Mus musculus: one gene and its partner. The protein of the gene in region 2 interacts with the protein of the main gene of each other region in a biochemical or structural test. Links are inferred from orthologs where the notes say so. Each region holds a gene or a part of one and is shown on either strand. Other genes may lie near its edges.

The links.
Region 1: the proteins of Dlg3 (region 2) and Net1 interact in a test that uses a peptide from one of them, tested with the Homo sapiens proteins (2 studies listed by IntAct, with this or other methods). The link is inferred for Mus musculus from reciprocal best matches to the Homo sapiens genes DLG3 and NET1.

Annotation. Positions count from the first base shown.
Region 1 is NC_000079.6:3,909,825-3,922,510, forward strand, and holds the start of Net1 (neuroepithelial cell-transforming gene 1 protein), read right to left. Parts: upstream 8,397-12,686; 5' UTR 8,242-8,396; coding exon 8,114-8,241; intron 3,111-8,113; coding exon 3,044-3,110; intron 1-3,043. UniProt on the Homo sapiens protein: Acts as a guanine nucleotide exchange factor (GEF) for RhoA GTPase. May be involved in activation of the SAPK/JNK pathway Stimulates genotoxic stress-induced RHOB activity in breast cancer cells leading to their cell death.
Region 2 is NC_000086.7:100,763,234-100,775,825, reverse strand, and holds the start of Dlg3 (disks large homolog 3), read right to left. Parts: upstream 8,105-12,592; 5' UTR 7,755-8,104; coding exon 7,398-7,754; intron 4,520-7,397; coding exon 4,466-4,519; intron 4,212-4,465; coding exon 4,161-4,211; intron 3,770-4,160; coding exon 3,645-3,769; intron 3,460-3,644; coding exon 3,290-3,459; intron 3,004-3,289; coding exon 2,867-3,003; intron 2,562-2,866; coding exon 2,417-2,561; intron 1,755-2,416; coding exon 1,595-1,754; intron 1,332-1,594; exon of another isoform or gene 1,016-1,331; coding exon of another isoform or gene 882-1,015; intron 20-881; coding exon 1-19. UniProt on the Homo sapiens protein: Required for learning most likely through its role in synaptic plasticity following NMDA receptor signaling.

The DNA of each region.
Region 1 (12,686 bases), on a different chromosome or scaffold from region 2:
GACCGTTTGCACTTGTGCTCACAGGAGTAGAGACAGATGACAGGATATGAGACGGTGGACCACTGCTCCTTTCAAATACATTCAGCCTTCATTTCCATCTCTCTGGAAGTTAGCTGTTAGTATGCAGCATGTGGACACAGACTCAGCATGTGCTCTGACAATCAGCTGTTGGGAACAGAAATAAGGGGGCCCTGCGGGCCCTGGGGAAAAGTGGCCTAACGTCCGGCCAGAGTTCCTGTGCTCTGGGCAGGCGGATGCAGGCAGTGCTGCCGGACGCTTTTCCACATGTCCCCGGGTGGGTGAGCATGCCTGACCCACACGGCAGGGGTGGAAAAGGGGCAGTCCCCGGCCGGGAACCCCAGTGCTACCTTGCTAAAGCCCCAGGGTTGTAGGAGAGAGGAATGAGGGAAGAAGTTCCCAACACCGACCAGAGTGCTCAGCGGGTCTTAATGGAGCAGAGACTCGCTAAGGTTTAAGAGCTTTATTATAGAAATGCAGGGAGAAAAAGAGAAGGTAGAAGGGGGGGGGGGGAGAGAAAGAGGAAAGGCTAGAGAGAAAGAGAGAGAGGAAGAGAGGAGAGGAGAAGACAAAGAGAAATGAGAAGAAGAGAGACAAGTGAGAGGTGAAGGAACAAAGGAGTAAGAGTAAGAGAGCAAGAGTAAGAGACAGAGGTGCGTGCGGGTTGAACAGCCCTTTTTATAGTTTTCACTGTTGCTAGGTAACTGGGGAGGAGTTTAGCCTGAAGGTCAGTCGCTTGGGCCATTGCTTACGTGACTATTGACCATGCTTCTCTTGTGGGAGCTGTGGGAAGTGGTACCATGTTCCAGGAGCATGAGGGAACTCCTACCCTGTCATGTAGGTGAATTATGACCATTGGGGTTCAGACCTCAGCTTGACTGGAGACCAGCTTGCAATTCGCCACTATCAGCTGCTTCCTCCCGCTCTAACCCGATTTGCCAAGAGCTCTGTGCTCTCATCAGACCGGTAGATAGAGTAAATTCTCAAACGTGTGGGTTGTGGTCGGCAGATTGCTCATGAATGGAAGGCTTGGTCCAGAAGCAAGCAGTGTCTGGGGGGCTGGGGGGGGGGGGCTCGAGTGGAAACAGCTGCATCATGAGGGTCCTACCTTCATCAATGACTACTCCAACTATGGAAGGAGGGTCCTAGTTGGAGAAAGGTCTGTGGGAGTGTGCCCTGGAAATGCAGACTGTGTCTGGCCTCTCCTGCCTTTCCTGTTTCCTATTCATCACAAGGTGAGGAGACCTGCTCCTCCAGGTCTTTCTATTCAATATGGCTCAGAAATAATGGAGTTGCCAACACTGGCTGAAACCCTGGAAACTGACAAACAACATTTCCTCCTTTCACGTACCTGTTATAGTAAAGAAAAGGGTCGAAGGCACGGGATCATTTTCTGGATTCTCAGTTTTGTTTCTAGGTCTACTTACCAAATGCCACTCTATCTCATAGCACGTCTTAATCACTTAGAGCAGTTACAGGATTCCTAACTTGTACAGGTGTGGTCTGGGTCTCCTTCCATGAGAATTATAGAACGGGGACCAGGAAACTCTACTCAGATCTCTTTTAAAGCCACACAAAATGTGGAGTAATTTGAAGAAAAGTGACTTTTTTTCCTTTTTTTTTTTTTGTATTTTTTTTGTTTTTTTTTTTTTAAATGACAGTCTTTTCTTGTATGGAGAGAGTATCTCTCCACTCAACCAGGTCCTCTATATTCTTCAACGCTTTCAGGATTTCCCCATAAATGTTGCACACATCTTTTCAAGGACTTATTTCTATTAAATTTGATCCTATTTCCACAATGAAAATATTTCAAATGAGTGTACAAATTGTGCTAAAATCATAAAACTTTCTATGTAACACTGGATAAATGACACATGTAATGGGTAAAAAAGTATTGGAATGCCCAACAGAAAAATGAAATGCAGAATAGAATACAGATTAATCTTGTTTTGTTGAATCCATCTAAATATCCAGACATAACAACAACACTTGGCAAAACTGAAAATGAGTCATTTTTTATTATCTTCCTTATATAAGAAAAACACACAAAAAAAATCATGATTTAATTATATGTGCATTACAGTATACTAAGTTTTAAGTACCAAAAAAAAAATTATCAATTTTCTTCATCGTATCACAGAAATTTAAGTGCCTCTGTAAAATCTTGTCCTAGGTTTGGAGAGATGGCTCAGTGGTTAAGAGCACTACTGGCGCTTTGACATGGCAACTAACAAGCACGTGTAACGCTGGTTACAGGGCATTCTGGTTTCCATGGCAATGTATGTACATGGTACACAGACATGTAGACATGCAGGCAAAACATCCATATACATAAAATAATAAAAAAAATCTTGAGGGAACCAATAGAAGATAATTATTTACTCATACTATGTGTGTGTATATACATATACATGTATATATATATACTTGTATACACACATGTATAAATGTATGTATATATAAATATATAATGTCGTCAAACATTTTTATATTTTTAACATAGTATAAAAACTTGTTGGAGCTGGAGAGATGGCTCAGCAGTTAAGAGGACTGACTGCTCTTCTGGAGGTCCTGAGTTTAATTTCCAGCAACCACATGGTGGCTCACAACCATATGCAGTGGGATCTGATGCCCTCTGCTGGTGTGTCTGAAGACAGCATCAGTGTACTCATAAAATCAATCAATCAATCAATCAATCAATCATTCAGTCAGTCAAAAAGAAGTTGTCAAAGAATATACATAAAGTAGTATCTTACTTTCTAACACTCAAAGGAACAAAAAAGTTCAGTGTTAAAGGTGAATTTATATGAGTACTTTGAGACTATTTTATTTACTCTTAATAAAACTTTCTTCAGCTTGCTGGGAATAAAGGGCTAAGTACAGCTATAGCAGCTCTGCTTCGGAAGTATACGTGAGCTGTGCAGCAGAATGGAAGATAACCCAGGAGTGGATAACCCAGGAGTGGATAACCCAGGAGTGGATAACCCAGGAGTGGTTGGAAATGAAAACTCAGGTAGCTACTCACCAAAGTGAAGTCCCAGTGTGGGCCAGGGGTTAAAAATGTGAAGGAGCTGCCTCTCCGAAGGGAGCATCTACGGACAGAAGCGTCAGACAGAGAGAGTAATTTCAAAAGTTTATACTTGCCAGATAAAGAGCTATCATTTTTACAGTCTTAATCTCAAACCTAGTTAAAATAGTGATCCAGTGTCAGCAGCTGCAGAGAGCAGTCTTTCCTGATAGCATCAAAATATGACAGGGTACATGCCATCCTCAGAATCTTTACACTGAAAGGAGACTATATAATCTATATAATTAGTGGAGAGATTACTATTCAAAATAACTTTCTAAAATAAACACAGTTCATCTCATGAGTAAATATACAACTCAAAAATATAAAATCTACTACTATGACAGCAGCCTTGATAATTATATTACTAATAATGAAAAACCAAATGAACTCATAACTCTATACTTGGTACAATTCAAAACTTATGGCTAATATTTTAATATAAGTAAAAAAAAAATAAAACCCAAATCCTCTTATTTACATTAATGTACATTTCTCCTGATTTGTAAAAACTGGAGTTAAAAGCAAGAGGAACCTGCTTTTACCTTTCTAAAATACAGGCCTGTATATTCACAAAAATGTTAAGTGTGTACATTGACAAAATATATATATATATAAATCAAAACATGACATAGGTGATAACCATGAGCTATACTGTTAATCACTTAAGATGTATAGAATGCAGAACAAAGATATTTTTCCAACATGGATAAATGACAGCCAAAGGAAAGCAGAAACAGTCCCGAGCTTGCAGGAGCAAGGGATCTAGTTATCATCACGTGCCTTTTGGCAGAGGTTCAAATGATAAAGGGAGGATAAGCTTTATAACAGGACAAAGTGGGGAGGTGCAAGCATAACCCGGTTGGAGCTGTCCTGGGGAAGCTATTGGTGGGCTAACCTAAAGAGAACATGACGTGATAACTGTTGTGACTAGAGATAAAGTGTGCATCTGGCCTTTTCTGGTTGATTCTGAGATGTCAGGGTGGGGTTGGAGAGACTCCTGTAGAGGACTTGGGTTCCCAGCACCACGTGGTGGCTCTCAAAAACCTTAACTCTAACTCCAGGGATTCAATGCCCTGTTTTTGGTCTTCATGGGTACTAGTCACACACATAGTGCATATACATACATGAAAGCAAAATAAAATTTTATTAAAAATAAATCTTAATAAACAATTTAAGAAGCAGGCCAAAACTTTAAAGTAGACAGTTGCTAATAAAATTCTAGCTTTTTTACATCAACTTTTATACAAATTATTATTTAGCTTTTTAGCCAGGTCATGGTCCATTTATAAATCTGACTCTTACCTTGACCATACATTATCTTTACCATACATTATACTACAGATGTATGTATGTGTGTATATATCACAATATGAATGTATATATCACAATGCTACAGATGGCAAAAATTACAAGCTTTTCTAAGTTAAAGAGAAAGCAGAAGTGTGTATATTTCAGCAAAGACAATAAAGGAAAGATGGCTACCAGAAAGGCTTCACCAAAGAACAGTAAAACTGACTGTCAGGATAGCCTGTAAAAAGCACCTGCCACCCTGTTTGATCTCTAGGGTCCACATGGTGAAAGAAACACACACATGCCTATACCAGCTTCCCGATCCCCCAAAACCAGCCAAACAAATAAAAATGAAATAGGAATGTTTCTTCCACAGAATATACTTTGATCATACTTTTCCCTTTCCCAGTTCCTTCTGGATCTTTCCCACCTCCTCACCCACCCAACTCATGATCTACCCCCACATCAAAACAAACAGGAAAAACAACAAAACACAGAAAATCCAAAGAAATGAAAAAAAAAAAAGACATTAAGACAAAAAAATACTAAAACAAACTTAATGTGCAGGATTCATATTTCAAAATAACCAACCAATCAGACAAAAACATGGTGTCTGTTTTGTGTGGGCCAACTACCCAAGGTGTGGTGGTCTGAATAAGAATAGCCCCTATATGAAGTGGAAATGCTGGTTTCTTCGAAGACTCATCGTGTCATGTGATATTTTTTCTGGAAACTGTCTTATGAGAGGATGTTTTTGCTGAAGCAGACAGGAGAAGATGTTTTGCTGAGAACAGACACATGGTGTTTTTCTGGAAGCTGCCTGGAAAAAGAACATGTGATGTCTTGCTGGAGCAAATGCTTGAGAGGACACGTGATGCTTGGAAAGTGTATATTTATAATGCAACAGACAGTGGATGACACTCCACCATGGTTTTGTTTTGCTTTCTTCACTGGTTACTGCTTGTCATGACTTTGTAGAGAGAAATTCACCAAAGAACTTCTCATGATATTTCCATGGCTTCTTGCAGCTTCCTTGGACTTGGGCTGACTGGCGACTGGCAAAGCCTCATGGTTTCCTCTGGATCAAACAGCCCTTGTTAATTCGTGAACGGTGTTTGCCAGTGGATCCAGCTACCACTGCTGATTCATGAGAACTGAGCTACAGATATCCTGACATTGAAGATTGGAATCACCCCTTCTAAACAGGTCTACATCTGCCTTTGCCCTATTAACCTTTTCATTACTTCTGGTGGGTGGTAGGTTAGAATGGAGGTTGAAGCATTTAAGAACCCTTATTAAAGTAAGTTTTGAAAATAAGACAACACCTATAGGCTTATATATTTGAATGCAAACTCTTGAAAAGGATTAGAAGGATTAAGAGGTGTGGCCTTGTTGAAGGAGTATGTCACTGGGGATGAATTTTGGGGTTTCAAAAGCCCATGCCAGGCCCTGTCAGACTGTCTTCTGCCTGCAGATGGGGATAAAGCGCTCTGGCTACTTCTCTAGCACCATGTCTGCTTACATGCGTCCCATGATGATGATAATAATGGACTACCCTCTGAAACTGTAAGCCAGGCTCAGTTAAACCTTTTCTTTAAGTTTTGCCTCGATTATGGTGTCTCTTCACAAAAATGGATCAGTGACCAAGACACCTGGGCATGGGCCTTGCTCTGGAGTGTGGTTGATATACCAATACTCCACTGGAACAAAACAAAACAACAATTTTCCTTTTCCCAGGAGGTATCAATTGCAAACAGCTTCTTGGTTCTGAGTGGGATGGTGTGTCAACTCTCCCATTCTCAGTGCTAGGATCTTGTCTGGTTTGAACCTGTTGCAGGTCTTGTGCATTCCTTCAATCTCTGTAAGTTTAGATGTGCATCAGTGCTCTTATGTCTGGAGGATACTGTTTCCTTGGAGTCATCTACCAACTCTGGGCCCTAGAATCTTTCCTCTTCTGCACAGAATCAAAAAGGCTTAAATTCACTGCATGATGTGACCAACGCCTCCCAAGAGAATCTAAGGTTCCTGAGAGCAAGCGCTCCATCTGCTTTTGTTCACCTGAATCCCCATCATCCTCAACAGTGTCTGATGCTAGGGCAGGTGCAACTGTATTACACTGAGCACACGTGGAATGAAGCACTGCTTCTGTTCATCTTCAGGAAGTCCTCCTTTTCTGCTCCTTCACTAGCCCATCCTAATTCTTGTAATTCTCAGTCTCAAAGATGCCTTCTTTCTGCACTCTGACTTCTTAAACACACGGTCTGATTGGAAGAGAGGAAGTTTCAGAAGGCAAGAATTCTGGTAAATATTGCCTTAAACTTCAAACTCATAAAAATCAGTACTAACTGAAAGAATCTAGCTCTTTATAGAGTTACTTAATACAATGGGTTTGCCCATGCCTTGATAATGAAAGTAAGGTGTTTGCTTTTTCCTCAAAACCATTTGTCATGATTAGATTATAAGCTATATAAAAGATTAATTTAACATCCTATCAAATGACCTGGGCGTCGAGGTTCACACTGCAATCCGAGAACAGGGGGAGGCTAAGGAAGAAAGACCAGTTTTTAGGCAGAACGGTTTGGAGCCTGCTTGGTGACAATTCCTCTTCTCACCAATAGTCCTATGGATGTAAGACCACCTACAGTCCACCAGTTTCCATGGAGAACAGCTCTGGTACAGAAGTACAATATGAGTTTGTGGCCAGCGTCTCTACACAGGTAGTGAGTTCTGGGGTAACCAAGTTACACAGTGAGAACTTGTCTCAGAAACAAAACCAAAAAAACCCTGAAATCATGTCAAGTGGACCATGGGGATGTCTGAAAAGATGGAGCAGACACAGCACTGTTACTTTAACAGATTTAAAACTGACAGACAAGATTTCTGCCGAGTTTTCTGCCGAGGCCCATGATAAGTACTGATGTTCACACAGTGCCTTATATGAGGCAGACACTATCATAAACTCACTATGTAGACGTAGATTTGAACAAAGTTACATACTTTGTAACTCAATGTCTAACGTTATAATGGGAAACCATTGCATTCAGTACTTTGAGACCATTTCTCATATTTCGAAGGGCAAAAGAATGACAGAGTAGTCCAGACAAATGCCATTTCAATTTCCTATTTAATAAAAATATTATGACTCCCACAGCCTCTCTTCCAGACACAGATTTCTGAAATCAACCTAGTGTTTGCCTTTCCCAGACACATAGAAATGAAGATACAACACAGAATGTGAAAATGTGCTAATAACTGAAAAGCCAGAAAGAGTCTTTCTCTGATCTCTTCATTCCAGGAGCCTGTCCTGTTCTGGTCTGCAAAGGACATTTCATTTGAACAGCCGCTTTTAGGCTGAAAGGGTTGGTATCTGTTCAGGTGACAATTCCTCTTCTCATCACAGGGTCCACGACAGTCTTGATCTGAGCGCCTGCATCCACAACTAGTTTCTGGTAGAGAACAGCTCTGGTGCAGATGTACGGTTCCCCAGGGACGGGGTTAAAGGAGATTGTCAACAAGTCCAACGAGTCCACCCCTTCTACGCAGGGCCGAGCAGTCGCTGTGCAGCCCTCGGTGCAGCCCGCCGGGCAGCGCACTCTCCTCCCGCGGCATTTCTGCCCGGCCTTCCCCAACCTCCCCTACTGCACTGCCAGTCCTTGGTCACCCACCGTCCAGTCCATCCCGTCCTGAGTCTCCAGACTCGGTCCCCGGCTCTCACCCACCTCCCGCCACCCTCACCTCTCGTTCGCCGCCGGCCCGGGTGTGTCGGCCGGAAGCCCCGCGGCAGGTTCCTCGCTGAGCATTGAGACCCTGCGGCTTCTCCTCCGAGGTCGGGGCTGCTTCTGAGCCGCCGGCTCTGGCTCCATGTCCGGAGAAGGGGGGTTGGTGGGGCGGTGGCCCAGTGCCCAGGAGACCGATCGTGGCGGGCACAATGCCCGCCAGCTTCTGCGAGGCAGCAAGTCGCCTTCTAGCAGAGAGCGGCTACCGCCGTCATCCGGGGATTTGAAAATGGCGGCTGCCCAGAGATCGGCCAATCAGAGAGTGGGAAGCGGTTGCTAGGCTACGTGGAGTCCCGCCCTAATCAGAAGACTTCATACCAAACTTTTAGGAGCTCCAGTGACAAAGGGAAAGTGGTAAGGTGAAAGTTAGGAATTTGGGGATTTATTTTAACTACACACCTTACTCCTGAAAGGCAGTCTCTATTCACTAGAACTTTCACTTGCAGGGCAGGAAAATGGATCGGAAGCTGTTTATCATTTGTTGTTGTTTAGCGTTAGACAGGATGAAGGTATTGACCCCAAAGCAAGAGGCAGTTGGACGTATAAACACTAAGTTATACATGTGGAATATATTCCCAATTGCCAAAGACAATACTTTGTTCTCCAGGATGTCTCTAGAGAACCAGTGAAATCTAGTTATGTACTCCTGTCTTTCAGTAAGTAGGACACAGTCGCTTTACCGAATGGAAAGGGCTGCTTTCTCTGCTTGCAAGACTGCAAAACGTGCAGCATGAAACAAGGGACCCTGCTCAGGTTATTATGTGAAGATTGGTAAATAAAAACGTTCTCTGATTTTAAATATCGCTAATGGTCTTAAATGTAGTCTCTCTTGTATACAGGGAGATATTAATGATGTTGTGTATAATAGAAAAATTAAAGGCAATCTAAATGAATGACTGGGAGATGTCTAAATATAACTGATTAACTGTGAAGACTGCATTCAGCCGATAAAGAAATGGTCTTCTTCAGGGAATACCATTGGTTAGCCAATACTAACAGCTAGCCCTGAAAACATACAAATAACATCATACAGACTGAGCTGGCTGTATTTGTGTATTTAGGAACATATATGTATAACATATTGTTACATATTGACTATGTAACAATAATTAATAAAAAGAGTCCATGAATGTGAAAGATAGCAAGAAGGGGTATAGGAGAGAGTTGGGAAGGAGAAAAGAGAAGGGAGAAAATGGTGTGATTATATTATAATCTTGAAAATAAAAGAAAATTAAAAATAAGAGGTATATAGTAAAACAAAACATTGTGATTTTAACTGAAAGCATAAAATATGAAATATAGAACAATGATGGCTAGTTTTATGTCAATTTAGAAAAATTCTGTTTTAGGGTTTTACTGCTGTGAACAGACACCATGAAAGAGACAGCCCTTATAAGGACAATATTTAATTGGGGCTGGAATACAGATTCAGTCCATTATCATCAAGGCAGGAACATGGCAGCATCCAGGCAGGCATGGTACAGGAAGAGCTGAGAGTTCTATATCTTCATCTGAAGGCTGCTAGCAGAATACTGGCTTCCAGGCAGATAGAACAAGGGTATTCAAGCTCACACCCACAGTGACACACTTACTCCAACAAGGCCATGCCTCCAAACAGTGCCACTCCCTGGGCCAAGCATATTCAAACCATGACAAACCCTCTCTAATATTAGGCGGTAGGTAAGTCTATAGAACATTTTCTTAATTAGTAGTTGATGGGAAATAGGCCAGCCCATCATGGCTATACCATTCTTGGGCTGGTAGTCCTGGGTTCTGTAAGAAAGTAGGGAGAGGAAGACATGACGAACAAGCTAGTAAGCACTCTTCCACGGCCTCTGCGTCAGCTCTTGCCTCCAGGTTCCTGCACTGCTTGGGTTCCTGTCCTGACTTCCCTTGATGATGAACTGTGATATAGAAGTGTAAGCTGAATAAACCCTCCTCAAGTTTTTTTCCCCCTCTGTCACAGTGTTTTATCACAGTAATAGAAACCCTATGACAAATCATGAAGTGATTTGTGAGGGGAGTGTGAGTAAAATAAGCCCTCCCCCCTCCAAGTTGCTTTTGATAATGGTGTTTCATCATAGAATAGTAATCCTACCCACAAAAGAACTATAATTAATTATAAATCACTCTTTGTAATTATACAGAATAGAAAGTTGAGATTAATTAAATTTTTCTAGGTGGTAAGACTTTTGGCACTTAAAAATGCTTTTTATTTTTATTTTCTTGATTTAAGAATTCTTAAACAGAGTGAGATACTGGAGAAAATATTGCGTTTAGCAAATACAATGTAAATACAGAAATGTCATCCAAAACAATTGATCTCTATGCCGAGTTTGGTAGAATGAAGATATTTTAGTGGAACCACACACTTTTACACACAGAAGCAAGTTAGTTTGTCTCTATTCCTGAAGATACTGAAGCTGGTTTTGGTGTTATCACCAGAAGTTATTAGGGAACATTTACTATCAATGTGATAGATAATAAAAGATGCTGATATGGGGACTTCATGGAAGTTGTGCACTGCATGGAAATTGTGCAGGAAAATTCTTTCAATATTCATTCACTTGGGAAGTTGTTACTTTTTTTTTAGCTACTCATACATATCTATTGAATATCTACAATAAAATACTAGACTTTCAGCTAGGTTGTACCATAAGAAAAGGAATTGAAGGCCCATGGTATATTGAAGCACGTGGAAGGAAGCTGGACTTTTTACTTGTTGATGTTCTGTTGTAATAAAACACTCTGACCAAAGCAACTTACCAAAGGATGAGTTTATTTGGGCTTATGGTCTGTTGTTGTTGGGAGATGTGGCAGCAAGCTTCAGGAACAGTGTTAGGAGAAAAAAAATGATCATATCTTTGACTACAACTACAAGGTAGAGAGGGAACTGGAAATGGAGTGTGCTATGAACTCCAAAAGCCAGACCCTAGTGACATACTTTCTTCACCCAAGGGTCCACCCATAAACATTCCTAAATGGCACCACCAACTGGGGACCAGGTGTTTGAAGACTAGAGCCTATGAAGGACATTTGTCACTCAAATCACCATAACTACATATTGAGAGTTGGTCACAAAACCTTGGAAAAGGCCAGTGAAACCCTACAAATGTATAATAGATTGATCTTCTATTGTCTAAATGACCTGTCCCTCTGCTTCCTGGATTCAGTATTTTTCACTGTCTAGGACAGAACTAAATACATGACCTGCGAATCATTGAATCTTCAACTCTGGACAAATGGTTCCTCTGTTATAACATAGTTTTTTCAGGTTAGGGTGGAGAAAATTGGTAGGCCTGTAGGTATTTTCTTAATTAGTGATTGATGGGGGAGGGACCAGTCCATCATAGGTGGTGCCATCCCTGGGCTGGTGGCCTTGGGTTCTATAAGAAAGAAGACTAAGCAAGCCATGAGGAGCAGGCCAATAAGCAGCACTCTTGTGTGACTTCTGCTTCAGCTCTTGCCTCCAGGTTCATATACCGCTTGAGTTCCTGTCCTGACTTCCTTTGATGATGAACCGTGTTGTGGGAGCATAAAATAAACCCTTTCTTCTCCAACTTGATTTTTGGTCATGGTGTCATTGCAGTGTGTGTGTGTGTGCTTGACTATCTTAGTAAAAGACATTGAAGACTTAAAAGTCTGAGTTATGTTCCTAATGGGTGGAAAGGATGGAAGGAGATGGGAAGGATTTGGGTGAAATAAGGGCAGAACGACAATGGCCAGTGATTTCTAGAGCCCATCAATGGAGGATCATCAAACAGTACTTCAAAAATGTTCAGGATATTAGTCAGAATTATTTTTCAGAGCTGAGTGATTTAAACAAACAAACAAACAAACAAACAACCCCAAATCACTAGTTTGTTGCTGAGAGGTTTTTTTTTTCTTAGATAAATAAGGTTTCACAAGCTCGTAATCTCAAGACTTGGGAGGTAGAGGCAGGAAGATGGGGAGCTCAGGTTAAATTGGTCCACATGTTAAGACTTTGTCTTAAAGAGCCAAAACCAGAGCTGGAGAGGTAGCTCAGCAGTTAAGAGAACTTGTTGACCTTGTAGAAGATACAAGTTTGGACTTCAGTATCCACATTGAGTAGCCTACAACTGCCTTTAACTCCAGTTTAATCCAATGCCTTCTTCTTACCTACACTTGTGCCCACGCATATTGGGCCCATGGCCATACACACCCACACACACAAAATAAACATAAATCTCAAAAACAATGAACTCAAACAAAAACAAAACCCAAAGCCAACAGAAATTCAAGGCGGCTCTTTTGGTTGGTTGTATGTGAAGAACTGGCCACTGAAATTACATTTACTAAAAAAAAATACTAAAATAAAAAAACCTTAAGAAACAAATGGTAATGAAAGGGAATCCTAAGAGCAAGCACCATGCTTTTATCAGCTTCATTTTCTTCATTCTTTGAAGACTTAAGCATAGCTACCAAGTGTGTCTAAACCAGTGCTGTATGCATATAGGATTTATTTCAAGGATTTGCTGTATGTGGTTGTAGAAGCTGTGGGATCTGCCATC
Region 2 (12,592 bases):
GATGATCTTGCGGGGCTCTCTGGAGAGAAATAAAAGAAGATAAGAAAAGGTGGAGTGGGCAGTCAGGAAAGGATGATAGGAACTGTTGATGCTGTGAGGACCAGGCCGGCACAGAACCCATACTTGCTGTAGGAAGTCAAGACTCTAAAGGGCTTCTCTAATGTGATGCCCTGTGCTTCCCCTTTGACTCCTGAAACTTGCTTGGCTGCTCTTTTATGCCAGGTGCCAAGTTTCAGTTCCTTGTCCCTCCTTCGTAAAGTCTCCTAGTCAATTTCCCAATGGGCATTCCTCAGCACTCTCAGGTCCACAAAAACGTCATCCAGAACTCTGGAGCCCAAACTTCACAGCCCACTCCCTCATTTTCTTCCCTGAGTCTTCTGTTCTAGTCAGCTCTGTGAAAGGCCCTGGACTGAAAGAGAAACCTGGTAAGGGCAGTGGAGTCACCCTGGGTTGATCTCCCTGACCATCCAAAAGCTACTCTCAACTATATGTCCCTTTCTACCTTCCCCCAACATGGCAGCCTCCACTGACCAATGGTGGTGTGGAAGAAGAAATAGATGAGGATGAGGAAATCCCAGGTCCCAAAATAGGTTAAACTTAAGAGAGGAGAATATATATATATATATATATATATATATATATATATATATATATATATATATATACATATATATATATATACACACACACACACACAGTGCCACCCGGTAAGTGGAAATTATCTGCATATGGATATCCATACAACTAGCCCGACTCCCCAGCACACTGTCCCATCCTGCCATCTTCATTTGGTACAAGCATCTTTCCTGAGAGAAAGCCCAGGTCTCAAGTGAGCCTCTTCCTTTCTTGCAGTTCCGAGTCTTGGGGTTGATGCTTCCTACCTGGCATCCCCTCCAGGCCGCAGGGAACGGAGCGGCCAGGCCCACCTCTGCGAAGCCCTCCTCCAGGCTGAAGCAGAGGCCGAGCCCAAACCCAGGGCCAAGCTTGAGCCTGAGAACTTGCGAGCCGTCTCCATGGCTCCTCTGGTTCTCCCCGGGTCAGCCTACTCTTCTGTCTCCACCACTGCTGGCCCAGCAGCCACCTAGGCCCCACCCTGCAAACCTGTCCCCCTGCAACCCTGGCCGGCCGGCCTGACCAGTTCAACGGCCCCGGCCCGCCGCCACCACCATGGGGCGGAACCCTTCCTCCTGCGGTCCCGGGCTGGCTTGGAGGCCTCTCTGACTCCCGCCAACCCCGTCAGCTAAAAGGCCTTCTTCAGCGACTATGGATGGCTGCCGAAGAGAGGATTGATACTGTCGCAGGGCAGGAAGACCCCCGCTGCCCCCACTTCCTCAGCCCCCTAGACGCTTCACCCCACCCCGGATCTGCATTTTCGGATCTGGGCCACTTGCTTGGCACTCCCCCTGACGGCGGTAATCGTCCTTGCAGCCACCTCTGTTTCTGAAGTCCGAAGGCCTCACAGAGAAGGGCCCCAGATCTTACTGCTGGGGATGATGAGGGCCTTGCCCTTTTGCCATACTACAAGAAGGCCTGTCAACAGCCAGAAAATTTATTCTCACCCCCTCTAGGTTGAAAGAACAGGAGAGTGTCTTACCTGGTAAAGTCTTCCTCAGCCAGCATGTGTCTGGGAATAGGAGAGTAACGAGTAGGGGGCACCTGAGGTGGAGCAGGGTAGGTGACCTTGCTCTCCACTGCCCCAAGATAACCCAGGCTGGAATTATGGCTTATGTGATTGTCAGCCAAGGCAGTGAAAGCTGAGGTGGAGAGAGAGAGAGAGAGAGAGAGAGAGAGAGAGAGAGAGAGAGAGAGAGAGGTGTCCAGAGATGTTCCACTATAGAATTTTTTCCCAACCCCCTCAAAGGATTTTTCCTTACATCCTACCTCAGGTACAAAAAGGACCAAGGAATGCCGATTCCCTAGGCCACTGCTCCCTGCTCTACCCACTACCCACCCTCACCCCAGGGTTCCTCCTCCTCTGTCCCTTTCTAAACCCTAGGCTTACTCCTGTGAGTCTTAGAAAGAGCTGAAGTCAAAGCAGTCTACAAAGAAAGGCATGACTAGAGGTGTGATTAATAATAATAATAATCCCTTACATCTCTGAAGCCTAATAGTTTTCCAAAGGCTTTCTCATCCATGATCTCACTCAATCCTTGCACCAGTCCTATGAGGAAGGCGATACACACACACACACACACACACACACACACACACACACACACACACACCATTAGCTTATTTGGACTAAAGAGAAAAACTAAAGTTGTGAAAAGGTCTTGTCCAAGGGCACCCAACTCCAAAGCACAAGGCTGGCACCTGAACTCAGTTATGACAATACCATCAGTACTAGTTCTTTCTGAACAAAGGGGCCAGACACCGTCTCCACTGAAACCAGGGCCAAAGAGCAATGAGTACGTACTGCTGGCATAGTCAGGGGGAGCATACATATCGTTGAGGTGGATGCTGCCTGGCTTGGCCACCTTCAGATAGACCATGTCTGATGTGTTCTTGAGTGAGGCCACAGCTTCCTCATGCCTCACATCCTGCAGATTGGTATTGTTCACCTAGAAGAGGAGACACCCTAGGGTGGGTCTTAGAAGGGAAAACTTCTCCGGGGCACTCAAAGGAGTGGTCTTTCAGCATACTAACAGGTACCAGTCGGGTAGGGTTAAAGGGATAATATATAAGCATGGTTGGCCCCACCATGGGAAAAAACTAGGGCCTTGTTAGCTGAGTAAGACCAACTCAGGTGATCTTGAAATTGCCAAAATGCCTTATCCTGAGGTGAGGTTTTGATGGAGTGAGACGGTTTACCAGAGCTGATCCTCCCTACCCTACTGTTTGGGCATCCCCTTGAAGGCTATCTCACCGCAAGCAGCCGGTCCCCAATCTGTAGGCGTCCATCCTTCTGAGCAGCTCCTCCTTCAATGATCTTGGTGATATAGATGCTGTTGTCTCCTGGGATGTGCTGGTTGCCAATGCCCCCAGCAATGCTGAAACCTAGGCCTAAATGGCAGCCAGCAGGAAGTGGGAGAGAGCCACAGGGAGAAGTTAGCACGGTTCATCCATTTTGAAGCCAATCCCCTCCCTCTGCCCTCTCCAAAAGCTTCACCATCCTATCATCCCAAGGTCAGTAAGGATTGAAATCGGAGGTCAAGAAAGAAGGCTAGGATCTGGGACTGGAGTAATCATGCCAGGAGAAAAACCCCTCCCTTCCATTCACCTATGGGGCGGCCATGAACCCAGGGGCTGGGGGTGGGTTGCTAGAGCACGGGAACCAGGAGGGCCCCACCTTTTGGCCCTTTGAGCAGGTTGACCTCCATGATAGTCTCAGGTGGGGGCTGTCGCCTCCGCACCACCAACCGCACCACAGGGCCTGCCTCCTTCAGTGCCTCCACGGCCCGGCTGTGCACCACCTCGGACACGTCCACCTCATTCACCCGTAGCACACAGTCATTCACCCTGTAGGGAAAGCCCAAGAGGCATGACAGTGTGTGCCGCCCCTCTATTGTCGCCTGTATCTTCCCTCTCCTCGGCTCTCCCTTCCTCCTTTCCCTCTTCTTCTCCAATATAATGGAAGGGTCATCCTTGTCCCTCATCTCCATCCTGTCCCTTCCACCCACAGCCCTGCTTCCAGGCCATCTCACCCCAGCCTCCCATCCATGGCAGCTGCTCCACCAGGAATGATCTTGGTAATAAAGATGCCAGGGTCATCAGGGACATGAGGGTTGTCGATGCCACCTGCGATACTGAAGCCAAGGCCAGAGTTGCCCTGAAAGGGGGTGGAAGGGCACAGTCATTTCATTCTGAGAGCACACAGGAGGGTTCCATCTCCTTCCATATCCCAGAGTCGGTTCTCCAGATTCCAAGGGAAGGGTGGGGCACATTCATCAGAAACCTAGCAGTTTCTCAGTCTATGTTCACCATTTTGGTGGAGAGGCCTCAGCAAACCAACCCCCACCCCAAGTTTCCAGGCCTCAGTCAACAAGATCAATATTTGTGAGTTGATTGGTAGCTGCAGTGATGTGGCTTCTGAAGGCCCTGTTTCCTCATACCCTCAGTATAGGCTCCCCCGTGAGTCTTGAAATGCTGCTCTAGGCCCTCCCCTCTCCTGGATGTAAACTTTGCCCCCTGTTTCCCAATCTCCCTCCTGGAAAACTTACCCGTTCCAGTACTATCTCCTCATACTTGAACATGCCATCACTGCCATTCACCTAAAAGAAGACAGTAGCACTTCCTTCAGTGTCTTCTGCCCACCTACTCATCTGCCCTCTCATCAGTTTACTCCTTCCCCACTCCCACAAAGATCCCAAGCACACGACAAGGCATCTCTAGATCACAGATGGGGACAGGCTGACCCTGAGCGAGCACATCCCTCCCCTTGTATCCAACCATATCAGTCCAAAACCAGTTGCTTGTTTAGCCCAGATCAACTGTCTGAGACTGAGCCAACCAGTGGTGCACTCACCGATAGGCTGGGCTCCAGGGCCTCGGGGTTCACTAGGAGGGGTGCAGGGCTGGCCTAAGGGGGATGGCAGAGATGGAGCATGGTGGGCAAACTGTACCACACCCAACATCCATAGGAAGCCTGGTGAGGGAACCTCTCCATTTCTGAACAACAGTTCCCCCTGACTTTGGGATCATAGAGTCCCACAATGTCAGATATAGAAAGACAACATATACCACTTTCACATGACAATTGAGGACACTAAGGCCCAGAGTGGTTGTGGGGTGTGCCAAAAGCACACTGGGAGTTAGGATATAGAACTTGTATCTCCAGGTACTCTTTGGACTATAGGAGGTTTCAAGGCCAGTGGTAATTTGGCTGATCATCCCTTCTCCATGTTATTTCCATCAGAGTTATTTCCCGGAAGTCCTATTTTTACACGTCCTTCAAAGGTCCCAGAAATACAAGTTCTCAAATGGACAGGAGTGAAAATCCTAATCCAAATTTTTTTCCAAAGCAACTTTTGATTTGAACCCTTTCTGTGCTCCAGAAGAAAGGGTCAGGGTGGGAACTGGCCAGGAGTCTGAGGACAAATCAGGGTTAGGACAGGACTGGGGTAGACAAAATTTCCCATGACGGGGAACCTGATGACCCATAGACAGTAGGATCAGAATTTGTGATCTTAAGCACACAGTAGCCATGGCAAGACAGGCTAGTAAGGGGTTCAAAAAAAAAAAAAAACACAGGTTGTTTTCAGCAACAAATAGACATTGCCTTCCAGACAGGACATACTTGTGGCCTTTGTTCAAGTGGAAATCTGATTCTGCACAGACAAGTACACCTGCTTCCTCATTCCCACAATCATTTTCAAGACTAAAGGAAGCCCCTTGTCTCCCTCACCAAGTGTCCCAGCACTGATCCACATTTCTCTGGCTGTGTTACACCCTTCTGAAGTTGTGGCCCCAGAAGAGAGCACACAGGGTGAGTGTTCTTCTAACATAGTCTGCTCTGCCTCCCCCTTCCCACCTTCATCCTCTGCAGCACTGGCTTCAAGAGTGCTGACTAGCCTCCCCTCTCTCTCCCCCTTCATGTTCTGTGGTCTTAAGGAGTCAGTGGGGAGGGCTCCAGCTGCAGCCTCACCCTGGTCCCAGGAAGAAAAATCACTGCTTCATCAGAGACCCCCCCCCCCGCAACTAACACAGCCAACTGAAGTGCCATACAACCGTTACAGAGCAAAAGAGAGCCCATGCAGGTACACTCTCTCGTGTACCTAGTGTACCATGTGTGTTCCACATGTGATAAGCCATGCCCACCTAGTTTGGGTGGCACCTGGAGGTTTCAGCTCCCAGTAGTCCACCCTCTAGCTCTGGTCCCACTTCCACTCAGGGACCTTGCCTCTAGGGTCAGGAGCCATCCAAAGATCACCCAACAGGCCCGGCCCTGGAATTGGCACCTATTTCTCACTAGGCAGGCCAAGCATGAGCGTGTGCTTATAAGGGAGGGGCAAAAAAGAGGGGACTCACTGGAGAGGGCAAGGAACCAAGGCTAGGGACATAGGAAGAGGTGTAGACAGACAGACATACAGAATGGATAATTCTGATCTCCAAGAAGCCCCCTCTTTTGCTTCTAGGTAAAAGCACATCCTATTCTCCGAAGAGGACAGGGGTGACCAGATGGTCACCAGCTTGGGACAGTCAGCACCTTCCATAGAGAGCAAAGCCTCTCCTCCTCTCTTTCCACCCTGGGGGTTGCAGAACTGAAGAACTAGACAGGCCCTCCGCCATGCGTGCCAGAGACCTGGCTCTGCTGGCCCAGCCTCCATTTTGCTGTTTCTCCCACAGACGCTCCTTCCATTTTCTAAGCTGGCAGTTCAGGCTGGGAGTGGAAGCCGGAGTTGTGCCCAGCACCCAGGGGCTCCCAAGCTGTGCCAAATCAGAGCTGGGGAGCTAAGCTCTCTCACATCTGTGGGTACCCATAAGGGCCATGTCCCACTCAGAGAAGACCCTGCATTAGGGCAGCTACCCTTTGCCTGGTTCCAGGCAATATGCCTGCTTTGGAGCAAGAAGGCTTGTTTAACACCCCCTGCCCCCCAACCCCCCGCAGCACACACTTCAGAGCAGCTTGGACAAAAGAGTCTGTCCTTCTCAGCAGCATCTCAGCCTTGCTTGGGATGTGTCTTGCCCCCCCCCCTTTTGCCTGTTAAGCGCTTCTCATCAGGGACAACACACACACACACACACACACACACACACACACACGTGTACACTCTTGAAGCCACATGCTTACACACATATACATGGAGACACCCTCGGGCGAACACAGCTATCCCTGCAGCCTCATCGACAGAGACACCTTCACATTCAGAGACACATCCTCACATATCCATGTGCACGTTCACACACAAAGGGACTGGGATGGAGAGGGACTCATGGTATGGAGAGATGACGCTCAGCCATCTGGGCACATGGGTTCTGATACATACATTCACACAAGCTCCATTGCTTTCTTCCACACACCCCAACATACATACAAACACATATGTCCCCCCCACGCAGAGCACCATGCCCCCTCCTCCCCTCCTATGGAGACACACACCACATACAACCCCCGCAGAACCTCCCGCCCCCTGCCAGACACAGAGACACTGCCACCCCCCCGCCCTGCACTGAGACAAACCCAAATCCCCCACACTAGAAAAATGTGCCCCTCCGCCATACCATCACCCCCTGATACAAACAGCTCCTCCCAATCCCCTCCAAACGGAGACCCCCTAAACAGACACACATAGAAGATGTATTTTCAACAGTCTCTCTTTGGTCAGCTGCTAAAGGCTCAGATCCATAGACTTGGAGCCCCAGCAACCTCTACTGCTCCCCAGACTTCCTAGACCCCAATCCCTAGTCCTTTGGGTTGTCCCACCAGCCTCCCCTCCTCCTCATCTGCCGGTCCTTACCTGCTCATACCAGTCCCGGTTGGTACAGGTGCACTCGGGCCACCAGCCGGGGCCACTGCCGTTGAGTTTTGGGGTGCTCTTGCCGGGGACTGGCTTAGGGGGCACTGGCCCCACATCTCGGCCTGTGGGGATGAGCTTGGCCTTGGTGCGAGGGGTGGGGGTAGCCCCTGCCTGTGAAGGCAGGGTCTGCGAGCTGTAGCCTCCATAACCGGAGCTAGCCCCATTGCCCCCACTTGGCCCATAGGGGTCCGGCACCTGCCAGTCCCCGTAGCCAGGAGGCTCAAGACGCCGCAGGGCGGCCAGGCGGGTCACCTCATAGCACTCGGGGCACTTACAGCAGTGCTGGTGCTTGTGCATGGCACTGCCCCCCGCGGCTCGGACCCCCCAGCCCACGCCAGTTTCCACGCCGCCGCCGCCGCCGCCGGGCTCCCTAGCACACTCGCACTGCTCAGACCAAGAAGGAGGGGGCACCCGTGGGGGTGCCCTGGCTGAGCGGGGCCTGGGGCCGGGCGGGCGTCCTGGGGCCTCTGCCCCCACGCTGCCCCGCACCCATGGCTCCCCCTCCAGCACTGGCGGCTCCGTGTCGCCCGTTGTGGCTTCTGGGCCGAGGCCCAGCGGCAAAGAAGAATCGGGCGCCCAGGCAAAGGCTAGGTGCGGCGAGAACCTCTTCTGCTCAGGTCCCCAGGATGGATCTGAGTGGAGTCAAGAGCATCTCTCCCTGGCTCCCTTCTCAATTGATTCCAGCCAATCAGAGCGCAGAGTCAGGCAGCGGCAGCGGCAGCAGCAGGAATGCTAAACAGCGGCTTCTTAAAGGAGCAGAAGCAGAGGCGCCCCCCCACCCCCCGGACTCAGACACATCTCCCCTATTCTGTGGAGTTACTGGCAACCCTAGTCTAGGTGGCTGAGATTTGGGCCACTAGAGAGCTGAAGAGTATGATCCTGCGATCCTGTGTTCTCGTGTTGCCAATTTCAGGCTGTCTTCTGCCCGCTCCACCCCGCCCCACTGGCAAGAGGGAGTTGCAGTGAGATGCTCAATGGGTCCCTAAGCTTGCTCTAAGCTAGGGCCATCAGAAGTAAAGGCAGCAATAGAACCGATCAAAGGGGCATCTGGACAGGGTGCGCGAAGTGCTGCCTCCTGCAGGGGACCAAGGAAAAGGGCAGCATCCAGGTCTGTCAGCGCATCCTCATCAGGACCATTGTTCTTTCATTTCCTAGGCCCTGTAATGAGTATCTCTCACAGTCGACCTTTCTTACATCACCAGTGAGAGACTAACCTCAGAACCGGCAACGAGAGAAAACTATTTATGCCTGCCTCCGACACTTCTGCCTCCACTCCATGGTTATGTTAGGGAAAAGAGGCTTGAAATGTTACGAGGAAAGGGAGTTCGGGTACAAGGAAGTGGTAAGAAAAGATCTAAAGTGAAAGAAGCCAATTCTTTGGTTCTGGCACAGCACCCAGGAATCCCGATTGAAGGAGGTCTCCTTGACTTCTCCTCGCTCACGCTGTTGGAAGGTGGGGAAAGGGTAATCATAAGACAGAAAGAATCTTTTTTTTTTTTTGAGACAGAGTGATCATCCTGCCTCAACTACTTGATTGGTGATATTACAGGTGCCACCCAGGCTAGCTTTTTGTTTCTGTCCTTGTTTTATCTTTAGCAGACAATGACTGAATCGTTACAAAGTCTGAGGTGCAAACAAAAGTCTCTATCAAGGCAGTACTAAAGGTACCTCCATTCTACCAATAAGAACTGTAAGCTCAGCGGTGCTAACACAACTAGGTAGCATAACTGAGAGATGAAAGTTCTTGCCATTTGACTGGAACCCATGCTCTAAACTACTCAGATAAGCACTGTGCTCTAAGTTCTGCAGATTTTAGGTCTCCGTTTCATTTAACAGACATTAATTGAGCACTTACCCGGTGTAAAGCCATCACATGGGTGTTGTGAATAGAGACTTGGGCTTAATTCAACAGATGTTCATGCCAAACACTGTTCTAGAATATAGTAATAGAACAATACGATATACAACAAACAGACCCAGTCCCTGAGAGGATGTAGACAAACGTAAGTGCAACAAAGAACAGAAAACCATATAGTTATGGTAACTAGCCATGGTTGTCAACTTCAGTAGAATTAGAATCACCTAGAAGATACGCATTGGGCATATCTGTGAGGGCATTTCAAGTGCGGATGAACAGACCTTCAGTGGGAGTGGCATCTTCCAATGGGTCACCCAGATACAGAGAGGTCTGAGTAAAATGCAGCAAGCCTATGCCTGCTTTCACTTCCTTTACAAAAATTATTTGTAGACTTGTTTCATTTTCTGTGTACTAGTGTTTTACCTGCATGTATGTATTTGAGCCATTTGCGTGCAGTTCTGGCAGAGGCCAGTAGGGCGTGTCAGATCCTCAGATATTGAAGTTACAGATAGTTGTCCCTCAGAACCAAATTTGGGTCTTCTGCAAGAACAACGAGTGCTCTTAGCTACTGAGCCATCCCTTTATTCCCTCTTCTCTTCCTTTTGACTGCACGTATCACTGCTGTTGCCATTATTGGCCGCCACCAGACTTTATCCAAGTGAACTTAACACCAGTGACTTTTCAGTGACTCTCCAGGCTTTTGACACTGGATTGGGTCTGCTGAAATGTCTTTTTTTTTTTTTTTTTGGACTGAGCAGCTACCACATTCCATGCCTTGCCAGTGTACAGACAGCCATTGTTGGACTGCTAGTTTCCCTATCATGTAAGCCAATCCAATAAGCCCACATATAATATGTATACATTCTATTGGTTCTATTCATTTACAGAGACCTGTCTACTGCAGATTTTGGTACTACAAGCAGTTCTAGAGAAAGACGTGATTTCTGCACGTCTCTCATTTGATTACTTATATCGAAAGTTACTAAACATCTTCCCGATGGTATGGAGAGCACTGACAGACAATCCATGGTGTGAACTGTTTAAAGAAATATGCACGAACTTAGGAAATTAGTCTGAACAGGTGAGAGGGTGCGCCAGAGAACCTGACAGCCTCTGGAACAGGCAGAAGCACAGAGGGGCTGAGGCAGCACCCTGTGTGGGCCGGGGACAGCCGGCCACCTTCCGGACCGGAGGACAGGTGCCCGCCCGGCTGGGGAGGCGACCTAAGCCACAGCAGCAGCGGTCGCCATCTTGGTCCGGGACCCGCCGAACTTAGGAAATTAGTCTGAACAGGTGAGAGGGTGCGCCAGAGAACCTGACAGCTTCTGGAACAGGCAGAAGCACAGAGGAGCTGAGGCAGCACCCTGTGTGGGCCGGGGACAGCCGGCCACCTTCCGGACCGGAGGACAGGTGCCCACCCGGCTGGGGAGGCGGCCTAAGCCACAGCAGCAGCGGTCGCCATCTTGGTCCCGGGACTCCAAGGAACTTAGGAATTTAGTCTGCTTAGGTGAGAGTCTGTACCACCTGGGAACTGCCAAAGCAACACAGTGTCTGAGAAAGGTCCTGTTTTGGGCCTTCTTCTTCGGCCAGGAGGAGGTCCAAATACAAGATATCTGCGCACCTTCCCTGTAAGAGAGCTTGCCAGCAGAGAGTGCTCTGAGCACTGAAACTCAGAGGAGAGAATCTGTCTCCCAGGTCTGCTGATAGACGGTAACAGAATCACCAGAAGAACAATCTCTAAACAGAGTCAACTATAACTACTAACTCCAGAGATTACCAGATGGCGAAAGGTAAACGGAGGAATCTTACTAACAGGAACCAAGACCACTCACCATCACCAGAACCCAGCACACCCACTTCGCCCAGTCCAGGGAACCCCAACACACCTGAGAACCTAGACCTAGATTTAAAAGCATATCTCATGATGATGGTAGAGGACATCAAGAAGGACTTTAATAAATCACTTAAAGAAATACAGGAGAACACTGCTAAAGAGTTACAAGTCCTTAAAGAAAAACAGGAAAACACAATCAAACAGGTAGAAGTCCTTACAGAAAAAGAGGAAAAAACATACAAACAGGTGATGGAAATGAACAAAACCATACTAGACCTAAAAAGGGAAGTAGACACAATAAAGAAAACTCAAAGCGAGGCAACACTAGAGATAGAAACCCTAGGAAAGAAATCTGGAACCATAGATTTGAGCATCAGCAACAGAATACAAGAGATGGAAGAGAGAATCTCAGGTGCAGAAGATTCCATAGAGAACATCGGCACAACAATCAAAGAAAATGGAAAATGCAAAAAGATCCTAACTCAAAATATCCAGGAAATCCAGGACACAATAAGAAGACCAAACGTACGGATAATAGGAGTGGATGAGAATGAAGATTTTCAACTCAAAGGTCCAGCAAACATCTTCAACAAAATTATTGAAGAAAACTTCCCAAATCTAAAGAATGAGATGCATATGAACATACAAGAAGCCTACAGAACTCCAAATAGACTGGACCAGAAAAGAAATTCCTCCCGACACATAATAATCAGAACATCAAATGCACTAAATAAAGATAGAATACTAAAAGCAGTAAGGGAAAAAGGTCAAGTAACATATAAAGGCAAGCCTATCAGAATTACACCAGATTTTTCACCAGAGACTATGAAAGCCAGAAGAGCCTGGACAGATGTTATACAGACACTAAGAGAACACAAACTGCAGCCCAGGCTACTATACCCAGCCAAACTCTCAATTATCATAGAGGGAGAAACCAAAGTATTCCATGACAAAACCAAATTCACGCATTATCTCTCCACGAATCCAGCCCTTCAAAGGATAATAACAGAAAAAAACCAATACAAGAACGGGAACAACGCCCTAGAAAAAACAAGAAGGTAATCCCTCAACAAACCTAAAAGAAGACAGCCACAAGAACAGAATGCCACCTTTAACAACTAAAATAACAGGAAGCAACAATTACTTTTCCTTAATATCTCTTAACATCAATGGTCTCAACTCGCCAATAAAAAGACATAGACTAACAAACTGGCTACACAAACAAGACCCAACATTTTGCTGCTTACAGGAAACTCATCTCAGAGAAAAAGATAGACACTACCTCAGAATGAAAGGCTGGAAAACAATTTTCCAAGCAAATGGTATGAAGAAACAAGCAGGAGTAGCCATCCTAATATCTGATAAGATTGACTTCCAACCCAAAGTCATCAAAAAAGACAAGGAGGGACACTTCATTCTCATCAAAGGTAAAATCCTCCAAGA